Linked DNA regions of Tribolium castaneum. The protein of the gene in region 2 interacts with the protein of the main gene of each other region in a pairwise test. Links are inferred from orthologs where the notes say so. Each region holds a gene or a part of one and is shown on either strand. Other genes may lie near its edges.

Region 1 (5,336 bases), on a different chromosome or scaffold from region 2:
TTCAGTGGGGGTGCGACATTTGGGACAGGGCTTTGTCAAGACTTTAATCGCAACTTTCGAAGCTTCGTCCCAACGGGCTTCCGCGGCTCTTGTGGGGTCCACATTGTACGAACAATCCCCCGGGGCCCCCACGTCCCCTTCGGGCGCTTCGCACTCCCCAATGTGGAACCCCTGGAGGCACAGGCGGCAGAAAACGTAGCCGCAGCCGTTGATGCACGTGATTTTGGTGCACTCGGGGTCCGCCAGTATGCCCATGCCGCAGCCCGGCTGGGGGCAGAGCACCCCACCGGAGCGCAACACATACTCTTCAGTCGCAAATCTCTGATATTGTGTGTACTATAAAAAAATTAGTCCGCGCTATTAAACGGGCTTGAAGCAGAGCTCACTTGACTCTCTGACAGGAGGCGAAAATGGTGGATCTCCTGGATGAAGGAGTCGGGACAGCCAGCGGGGCACGCTAGCGTGTAGCCAAACTCGGGGTGTTGCCAGAATTGGCGTTCCCGCAGCCGTGTCGTGCAGTACTGGCGGAAACAGTCGAGGCAAGTAACGTGGCCCTCTTTACATGGAAAGACGAACACGGTTTCGCTAAAATTTTATTGGTTATTTTCACGCTAGGAGTTATTTTCGCGTTTACTTTATGTCAGCGCACGCTAGACAAGGCACTTCTTTTAAATTTGGACGAATTAGATAGAGGGGAACAGCCTCGTCGGTCTCTCCAAGGGACGTGTGCTCCGAGCATTTGAAATAAAATTCGGCGAAAGTCGGTTCTTTGTTGTTCAGAACCTGCAGGAATTATTAATTAAAAATTTTAATTTAATAGATTTTCGAAATAATAGATTTTCCAGGGTATAGGTAGCGGTTTTATCAAATTTGAATTCAAAACATGTGTTAAAAAAATATTTTTATTTAACGTCGTTTTTACCGTGTTCATCATAGTCGTTCTTAATTTGTGTTTTAAGAGCAAGCTAAACTAAAATATTTCTAGCGAAGGTCGTTAAATCGATCAAGTATTTTCTGTTACCAAACGAAACTGTCTATCTTTGCTTTTGTACGCATCTCACGCACAAACAAAATATTATTGTAGCGCTTTAGTAGATTCCCGTTGAATACATTTTTATCTCAAAAAAGGTAATATTAAAAGAATTAAAAATTAAATTTACCTACTTATGTGCTACCTACTAGTAATTTCTATTGACACTTAATTAAAAGAAATGATTTAAGACAGGTACAAAGATAGAAAAAAAAGCAGGTAAAAAAGGAGAATTGAAAAGTTATGGTAATCCAATTGTCTTTGTTTATAATTTATTATTAATATTGTAATCTAATAAAAAATCTAAACTATTATTCTTGTGTGTCGTTTTGATTATGGAGCGATTCTTACTTATTTTTACATAATTTTCTCTTCCTTATACAGCGTTCAAAATGATGTTGCCAAACTTTACGGTGTTATAGAGGTCACTAAGATAGAAATGTTTTGCTGATAAACGCTGATAAATGAGCCGTTTTGCCTCTAGAGTCATGTCTTTGTCCAGAAATGATTACATTCAAAAATTCCCATAAAACTTACGTTTCATAACGTTATTTCAATAAATTGTCAAAATACCACTGCCTTATTTCATGTCAGTTTGCTCTACTTGCGTTAATGTTTGATAAAAAAGTATTTTAAACATGTATACATTTGTCAGAAAATAACAACAAACATCTATTTTTATTTTTTTTGAATATTGATTAATTTTTCCGGCGCATCCACCATTTTTTTAATTTGCAGTTTGTTAATAGTAAATTGTTTTACACTTGTTTTTCTTATATTTTCTGTACACTTGTACATTTTTGACTAAAGTTATTCAAAGTAGTATTTGGAAATGTTTAATTTGATAATTTCTCCCGGCGCATCCACCATTTTTAAAACGCTGTCTTGTTCACTTTAAGACACCAACTGGTGTCAAAAGGCGGTGGTGTGTGCATGTGTTGTTGTCATTAAGTCATTGTTAATTCCATCTTTTAATGTTTACTTCCAAGAATTTGAACGAGTAAAAAGCCTGATGATGTTTATTACATTAACTTTTAACTAAACTTTTTAAGGAACTTGGTCTTATCGTCGTGAATTTTTTTAAAATCAATCAGTCAAGGACGTTTAAAAAATTTTTATTATAACAATTTTTACACAATACTAGAGATTTCATCATTTCAATTTGAAACAGTTGTAAAATTTGGATTTTTTCAAGTCACAAGACATTCTACTTTGAAGCAGATTTTTTTTAAATAATTATTTCTTTTCAGTCCTATAACTCGCTTACGGGTAGTCCTATAACAAAAGTGCATAGGACCAATTTTTGTAGGAAATTTCATCAGCTTTAATTTTTGTAAGAAGGTGAAAACCGACAATGATTGTTTCCGTGGTATAAGAAATAAAACGAAAAATGACACACTTAACCCTCTCCCCCATCTCGAGCTCAGCCTCCATCCTCTGGGATTTTTAATATCTGTCTATCTAAAGAACGCGTTTAAAAAATTCCAACTCACTAGGAATTTTTGCCACCAACCGCCCAATTCTTGTCTGGTCTAACTTGACTGGGCTAGATACCTGATTTATAGCTGGAACACATTTTCTAAAAATGTTATAGAGACCCTCAGTAGTAACCCAAATTTCAAATTTAGATTTACATTCAATAAATTTGGTAACTGTAGAAAATTTTAACTTTATGATAGAAAAAGAAATTTAAAAAAGTATCTGAAAATATTTTGGCGTATATTGTTTTTAATTGTCTTCAGCGACTTTTAGTTTTTAAAATTAACATTGATTTCCCTGTACCAGAATTTCGGTTTAGCTCGCTCTTATGGTGTTAATGAATCTGCTGCTTCTAGTTAGGTGAGCGGACATTACGATTGCAAACATTTTAAAAATTTTCGCAATGCTCCTTAGTAAGCGTAAATATTTTTAACTTTAAATATTTTGACTATAAACATTTTAAAGGAAAATTAAATTTTGTCCAGTACTATTTTTAGTGTGGAGTGTTTTTGACTAATTTCAATTAAATAATTAAAAAACGTACGTTGGCGCACAATTCGGGGCTATTCTCACAAAGGCCGGTTATCTGCTTTGGCTGCAGCACATCATTCCAGTTTTGGGGGTCTGAGTGCACCGTGAAAGCCCCCGATTTGCAAAAGTGGCACCGAACTCGCAATTTCCCATTTTTGAGGGCTTTACACGTGGGGCAATAGACAAAAAAGTGGACTTTGCGTTGCTCGGTGGGCCCTTCCTCGTAATCATCGTTTGAAAAACTCAAATCTGATAAGGTCTCACACAGAGGTTTGCCCTCGTCACTTTCCTCAATTACGGCATTGTTTAAAGTGGGAGGGTTGGGCTTTTTGGTGATTTTGATAGCGTGGAGGGTGCTTTGTTGGCCCAAATCACATTCCTAGAATGACTAACTGGTTACGACTAGTGGTATTGAGGGCAAAACTCACAGAAATACTAATGTTGTCTCCCAGCTCTTTTCCAGCGAAAATAATCTTTACCTCGCCTGGTTTCAGTCCCAATTGGGGCGCAACGAACTCTTTCACCTCTTTTATGTCCCAGGTGGGGTCCAAATCGACCGAAAGCGTATTCCCTGTGTTGGTTTTTATGTAAATACTCAAATTATTGCTCAGCGTTTTTCTACTAAATGACAGAAATTGTAACATCTTATGCAACAAATCTTTAATTACGTTGATAATAAAACTCATCATCTGTGGTAACCGCGGCCGGGCTTATTTTTAGAAAAAAACATTTTTTGTGAGGAAATTTCATAACCTCATTCTTGGGGATTGTCGATCCGTTACGTTGGTTGTTGTGTGAAAAATTCCAGAAACGTCAAAACAAACAAGATGGGGCAAAGTGACGACCCATACGCACAAGTTTGCAAGGGAAAATTGCAATTAAAAGGTGATAACAGCATTAAAAAGAAAAAGAAGAAGAAAGATAAGAAGTTGTTAGAGCAAGTGAGCAAAATTGTCGAAAGTGAGACACCGGAATCAAAGCCTGCGAGGCAAAAAACAAAAGCCGAACTTGCGTTCTTAAAACAGCAAGAAAAAATGGTAAATAAATCACATTTCGTGTTAAATTTGTTGCCTGATTGTTACAATTTGCAGCAAACTCAACGCATCTTGGAAAAAGCGTCAATGACACACAAAGAAAGAGTAGAAAAATTCAACCAACACTTGGACGGGCTCACGGAACACTTTGACATACCTAAGGTCTCTTGGACTAAGTAAAATATTTATTTAAATAAACTTCTTATTTACACTAGTGTGATCAAGGATTTTCTTCAAATTCCTTGCAAAACTCTCATTTGAGAATTTCTCCTGCAACACTTTGCGCCCCTTGAGCCCCATTGCCTTGTTATCCGACTTGAATATCCTGTACATGAATTGCGCTAAACTGTCGGGGGTCGGTTCGCATAAATAGCCCGTGTTTCCGTGGTCGACTGTCTCTCGGGGGCCCCCACTGTTGCACGCAATGACGGGCTTAGCCACCGTCATTGCCTCGAGGGGGACAATGCCGAAGTGCTCCTTCACGGGCGTGTAAACGAGGCAGTCACACGCCATCAGAAGTTCCGTCTTGACGTCATCGGGGGGCGACTTGAGGAAAATAATCTTGTCTTGGAGCCCCTTCTCAGCGACGAGTTTCTCCAAGTCGGTGAAATAACTGGCGTTTATGGACGATTGGGGGTCGTAGCCCCCGGCCATAACCAAGAAAATGCCTTTACGTTCATTTTCCGAGGTGATTCTTTGCAAAATTTCCATCGCATTGATGGCCAAGTCCAGTTTCTTGGCGGGATGGAAGCGGTTGATGGAGAGGAAGACACAGGCGGCGTTTTGGGGTATTTCTGGGATTATTTGGTGGATTGGTCTGGGGTTTTTGGTGTTTTTGACGGCTTCTAAGAACGAGGAGGCCACTGTGGGGTACACCACTTGTACAGTCTTTGTGATTTGGGGGAAAGTCTCCCGGAAGACCGAAGCCGTGTACTCACTATTCACTAGAATGATATCAGCCCGAGCTGTGGACTTTAACTCCAACCAGTTTATGGGCTTCCTGTAGAAATTTTTTAAGGCCCCCCCTGGCGCACTGGCGAGCAAGTCCGGGTGGTGACAATAATAGATAACTTTTTCGCCGAATAATTTCAAAATTGGCACAGCCATAGGGATTAAGTCCACAAAGTACACGTCAGGCTTTTGAGTGGTACGGTAGAAAATTGCGTAGACTAGTGTTAAATAAATCATTCTGATGTAAGCGCACAGTGCTTGGAACCTTCCGAAGAGGTGTCTCGGAAGCCAGTCGCCGTACACTTGAACGG
Region 2 (4,982 bases):
AAAATAAAGTGAGGATAAAAACGCAACATGCGTAGATGTAATAATGATCAAAACACCACAAAGTCATGGAAAATGCTTGGAAGACATAGAATGGGTTAAAAACCTCGTCTACGAACAATCTCCAATAGGACTTAACTTCAATTTCGATTTTATTTGACCCGTATAACTTTAACCTTAAAATAATGTGATTTTTTTAAACAATCAATGAAAAGTTAGTTTAAATTACTTACAAATCGACATAATCGTTATAAAATAACCCGTCCGTATTATTAACATAACTATCAACCGTTTGTGGAGGTATTAAAAGGTCTAGAGTTCCAAAAATTTCGCTATGGGGGATCCACACGTATTTCGCATGTTGATACGTGAAAAATCTTAAATATACGTGCCCGTAATTAGGCAATTTGGCATTTTCAGTCTTAATTTCGACAAAATCGCTATTCCCATGCACATCTTTAACTAAAAATTACAATTCAGTGGGGTTCACCCACTGCTGACATAACCTCACTCAAGACAATGTTTGCGTGTTTTAAGCTACATTTTCTATATCTCCACGATTTCAAGCGCGAAAACCAACTGGAAAGTAAGTAGGGAATGCCTAAAAATACGATTCCTAAAAAATGGTAGAAAAAAGTGCGTGTAGAGCTCCTGGTGAAACCGTAAAGGTCACACTGGAAGTCTTCAAGGTTCAAGTCGAGGGTTTGGTGGGAGGATTCACCAATTGGTTCATATTCTAAAATTGTAAATTACCTTCAGTCAAACAATTGCAGAAAATTACCAGAATTATTGCGTGGCATTGTCACATTGTTTTTAACACACAAGGGATACAAAAACTATTAGGTAAGCTGATTTTATCTCATTATACACATGTCAGCAACAAAAACAGGGAAGTGATTCATTCCTGCGTTGCCTACACAAAGAATAAGTAAGTGGGGGGAGGGAAACCATGCGTGAGGCGCGCTTTATCAAAAATTTTGATAAACTGATAATTTTCTAATCAGATCAAGTGAAACATGACTTTTATCACATGACCACGATTTAGTAAATCATTGGTCCAGTGACCCATGTGGTTGTGATCACATGACACTAATCCCTGCCTCTTATTCGTTGAGCATAGTCAAGTTGAGTCAATTGGCCAATGAAACAGCGTTTTGGATAGAAATGGTTTATTAAGCACCTGTTTGAAATTAATACACTAAAATTTTTGCGATATTGTCTGGAATGCCATATTTACACTAAAAAATTTAAGGAGGGGTACAATTTAATACAACAACTAACAATTATTTGTTAACCATATGCTGCGAATCAATCCCTAGTCGTGTAGTGACTTTTAATTGCGACGTTGCTGCATCTCTGAGCGAAAACAAATGAGTGAGTTCCATTTCAGATCGTGCCAACGCTATAGCTTTGTTGAATAAATCGATCGCAACGACTAAATTTCCTCTGAAACAAATGAATTAAGGGCAAAATTTATAACACAACACAAATTCAAAATACCTTTGAACCTCAACTGTCCCTAAAGTTTCATAGGCAAATTCGCATTTATCATCAATTTTGATTCCTTCTTTCATCAATTCGACCGCTTGTTCAATCTCACCTTTCCATTGCAACATCAAAAGACCTCGATGTACGTAAATCGAGGCATTTTCCGAGTCAATCTCTAGCGCTTTTCCATACAACTTATCTGCCTCTTCATAATCCTGTTTCTCGGTCAAAACTTGCGCGTACAAAACGTAAGTCTCGACACAAGTTGGGAATTTTTCAATGCCTTTCTTGAAATTGGCCAAACTTTGCATCAAAAGTTGCACGTCCTGCACTTGCATTGCGTGCCGATAATCCGAATAGCATTTTTGTACAAAAGCCACCGAAAAATTCGGATTTAAATCAACAGCTTTCTGAAAATCGAGTATCGCCTCATTTGTTTTTTCCATCAAAAGCTTGACTTGACCTCGATGATGGAAAACATCGGAAATTTCCGGGCCGACTTCAGCCGCTTTATCGAAATCCTCAAGGCACTCTGTGAGCTTCTCATTTTGCATGTAAATCGACGCACGCTTGATTAGTGAATTAACTTTAATTTTAACATCGCAGTCGGTGTTTATGATCGTGGTCAAGTCTTCAAGTGCTTTGTCTAGATTTCCAGTGAGAAAATAAAACGAAGCTCGGAGTGATAAAGCTTCGATTTTAAACGGCGATTCGGATTCACTTGAATTGATTTCTTCGGTACAAGATGGGATTATTTCTTCGTATTTTTCCGTAGCGAAAGCGAGTTTGGCTTTGAGGAAACCCGAAAGCTCTCCTTGGCCGAGTGGATCCCCCACTTCAGTCAATTTCTGATAAACCACATCCTCAGAAAACGACGAAAAATAAGTCTTGATAAAAGTCTTTGACGGAATTATAGGTTTTCGGTTAAGCATGGCCTCCTGTGCGTGTTTTTTACCTAACTCTTTCAAAACGCGATCAGCCATCAAGAGTGCCGTTTGATTCTGGAATTGTTGCAAAAGACACACACACGTGACGTCATCCAAACAATTCTCCCAGTCTTTGACAATTTCCTCAGCCTTGGCTCTCCTCATTAACGCCTTTTCGTATCTCGAATTCAATTCAATCGCTTTGGTACAATCAGCAATTACACTGCTCCATTTTTTAAGGTTTTCGTAAGCCGCTGCTCGATTTTGATAATACGTCGCTAATTCCGTTTTGAATTCTTCCGGACATGCCTCGATGGCTTTGTTGTACAAGTGGATGGCTTCGTCAAATTTGCCTTTTTTGAACATTTCGTTTCCGGAAGTTTTATACTGTTGGGCTTGCTCCAAAGGGGTGGGGTCCTTAGGGGGATCTTTGACGGACTCATCGATTGATATTGTATCGCTGGTGTCTTTCAATTGGGGCTTTCGGCCGGTTTTTAAGTACCAGTAACTGAGACCTAGAGCGCTTACAGCTCCGATTCCGAGAGCGATTTGCCATTTTTGGAGCGATGAAGTTGTGCTAGAGGTGGATGAGGCCATCGATTTTACACTACCACGGATAGTTGGACACACACACACGGGGTTCTTATCTTGAATTGGTTATTTATCGAAAATGAGGTTATGTAACAGATTTGACAGCCAACAAATTGACAGCTGCTGGATTTTTTTTTACTTGATTTTGTGATTTACTGGTTGCATATGCTAATAGATAGGTTCATCGTCTGCCTTGATTTTTGACGATATTTTCCGAATGGTTAGCTGTAGCGACTTGATTCTTGTAAATATGGATTCCGTCGGTCATTCTACATTAGAATCACTCTGTATAATACAGAAAATGAGTCGCTGAATTCACTGGAACAAACCGTTTTGCTCTACGGCTTTTAGTTTTTGAGTTACGATTTTTTTTCTTTAATAAAATTATCCACCATAAATAATAGCTACCCTAATATTAAGCAAAAAGTTTTTTAATTTTTTATTCTTGTGAAAAATTGATATCTCACGTAAAATGAGCCGTAGAATTCAATGGAAATTGCTCTACAACTTATAGTTTTTTTTTCCAACGCAAAGAGCACATCAAAATCTCTAAGATAACTTAGGAAAAAATGCAACCCGACTATTTAGATACTAGCTATCTTTTTATTAATTGAAATAGAATATATTTTAGCCCATATGTAAATATGCCAATGGGTAAAAGCCATTTAAGTACACAAACTTGTTTGTATAATTTTTTTTATTATATTGTAATTTATTACAAACAAAAATTATTAAGGAGTTAACCTCGCTGATAAGGGCAAGGTCGGTATATTCAAAAAGTTAATAATTTAATTTTTTTCTTGAATACTCACTTCTTTCAACAATTTGCAATAAATTAATAACAGGTGTTTCAAACACGAGACATAATATTACCGCACAAGCTCCAGTTATGACCATTGTACCCCAAAACTCAACAAACTACAATATTAAATTACTTTATCAAGCATAACATAAATATGAAAGTTTACCAAAATCGTATTGCTGATGGTGCTAGTCTCGTCCTTAATCCCCAAAAAAATTACATAAATCACCGGTACATGTAACAAATACATGCTGTATGTAAGTTTTCCCACAATAATAAATACCGGATGAGACAAAAAAGTGTTGATAAATCCTGAAATCAATTGAATGATAATTCATAATTCATTATTCATTACTTTTGAAAACGAAATAATACCTCCGTGTCCGGTGTAACAAATAAAAATCACGACACAAAGGGCAAGTGCCCATAAAGGTCTAACAAAACAGTTGAAAAGGGCGCTGTAGAAGGGATCACGTTCGTGTCTCATTAAGACAGTGCAAAGTAAATGAAGGGCGACCATAGTTGTAAGAGCAATGGCCATCAAGAAGCGATTTTGTCGTTTCGAAATTATGATTTTTTGATAATTTTGTCGGTAAAGCAGGTAACCTAGTAGTATTCCAAACGACCAAGGTGCTAAATGAGCAATGGGTGTAAGGTAGTAGTACTTCATGTAGCTCATGTCGGAACTGAATAAAATTTATAGAAAAAATCACGTATGTAACACTGCTTACTCAAAAAATAGAATTGCTCCGAAATTATTTTTCATCGTTACAATAAAAGTGTAAATAATGCAAACGAAACACGCGATTGCCATTCCCGTAACAACTCGTATTGTGTGTTTTTTCAAATTAATTATAACGAATGGCGCAATTAAGTATAGTTGCGTATCCACAGCTAGATACCACGAATGAGCTGCACACTAAAACAAAATCAGTCGAGTGCAAAGAAAAATATTTTTTACCTGTGCCACAGGTTCCAAATAATTAGACAAGAAAAGTAAAGTCACCCACCAAGTTTTGCGGCAATTGTCCACAAAATAATTCAACAGTAAGGGCCAAAACGGGCCTTCACACAGATATTTTAAAACACCGAGGTAGAACAAAATTACAGCAAAAAGGGCCGGCAAAAGCCGCAAAATTCGATGAAAATAAAATAAGAAAATGTTGATTTGGTATTTT

What was found.
Region 1: the proteins of Tom70 (region 2) and park come close enough for resonance energy transfer, tested with the Homo sapiens proteins (3 studies listed by BioGRID). The link is inferred for Tribolium castaneum from reciprocal best matches to the Homo sapiens genes TOMM70 and PRKN.

The regions. Positions count from the first base shown.
Region 1 is NC_087398.1:11,671,406-11,676,741, forward strand, and holds the start of park (E3 ubiquitin-protein ligase parkin), read right to left. Parts: upstream 3,730-5,336; coding exon 3,469-3,729; intron 3,420-3,468; coding exon 3,054-3,419; intron 784-3,053; coding exon 635-783; intron 586-634; coding exon 387-585; intron 337-386; coding exon 1-336. Other genes in the region: protein FAM32A, read left to right, coding at 3,868-4,077, 4,132-4,254; alpha-1,3/1,6-mannosyltransferase ALG2, read right to left, coding at 4,264-5,336. UniProt on the Homo sapiens protein: Functions within a multiprotein E3 ubiquitin ligase complex, catalyzing the covalent attachment of ubiquitin moieties onto substrate proteins. Substrates include SYT11 and VDAC1.
Region 2 is NC_087402.1:140,020-145,001, reverse strand, and holds Tom70 (mitochondrial import receptor subunit TOM70), read right to left. Parts: upstream 3,135-4,982; 5' UTR 3,009-3,134; coding exon 1,498-3,008; intron 1,444-1,497; coding exon 1,281-1,443; 3' UTR 1,150-1,280; downstream 1-1,149. Other genes in the region: polyamine-transporting ATPase 13A3, read right to left, coding at 1-173, 231-459, 509-733, 779-797; nose resistant to fluoxetine protein 6, read right to left, coding at 3,783-3,920, 3,971-4,116, 4,180-4,490, 4,536-4,723, 4,766-4,982. UniProt on the Homo sapiens protein: Acts as a receptor of the preprotein translocase complex of the outer mitochondrial membrane (TOM complex). Recognizes and mediates the translocation of mitochondrial preproteins from the cytosol into the mitochondria in a chaperone dependent manner.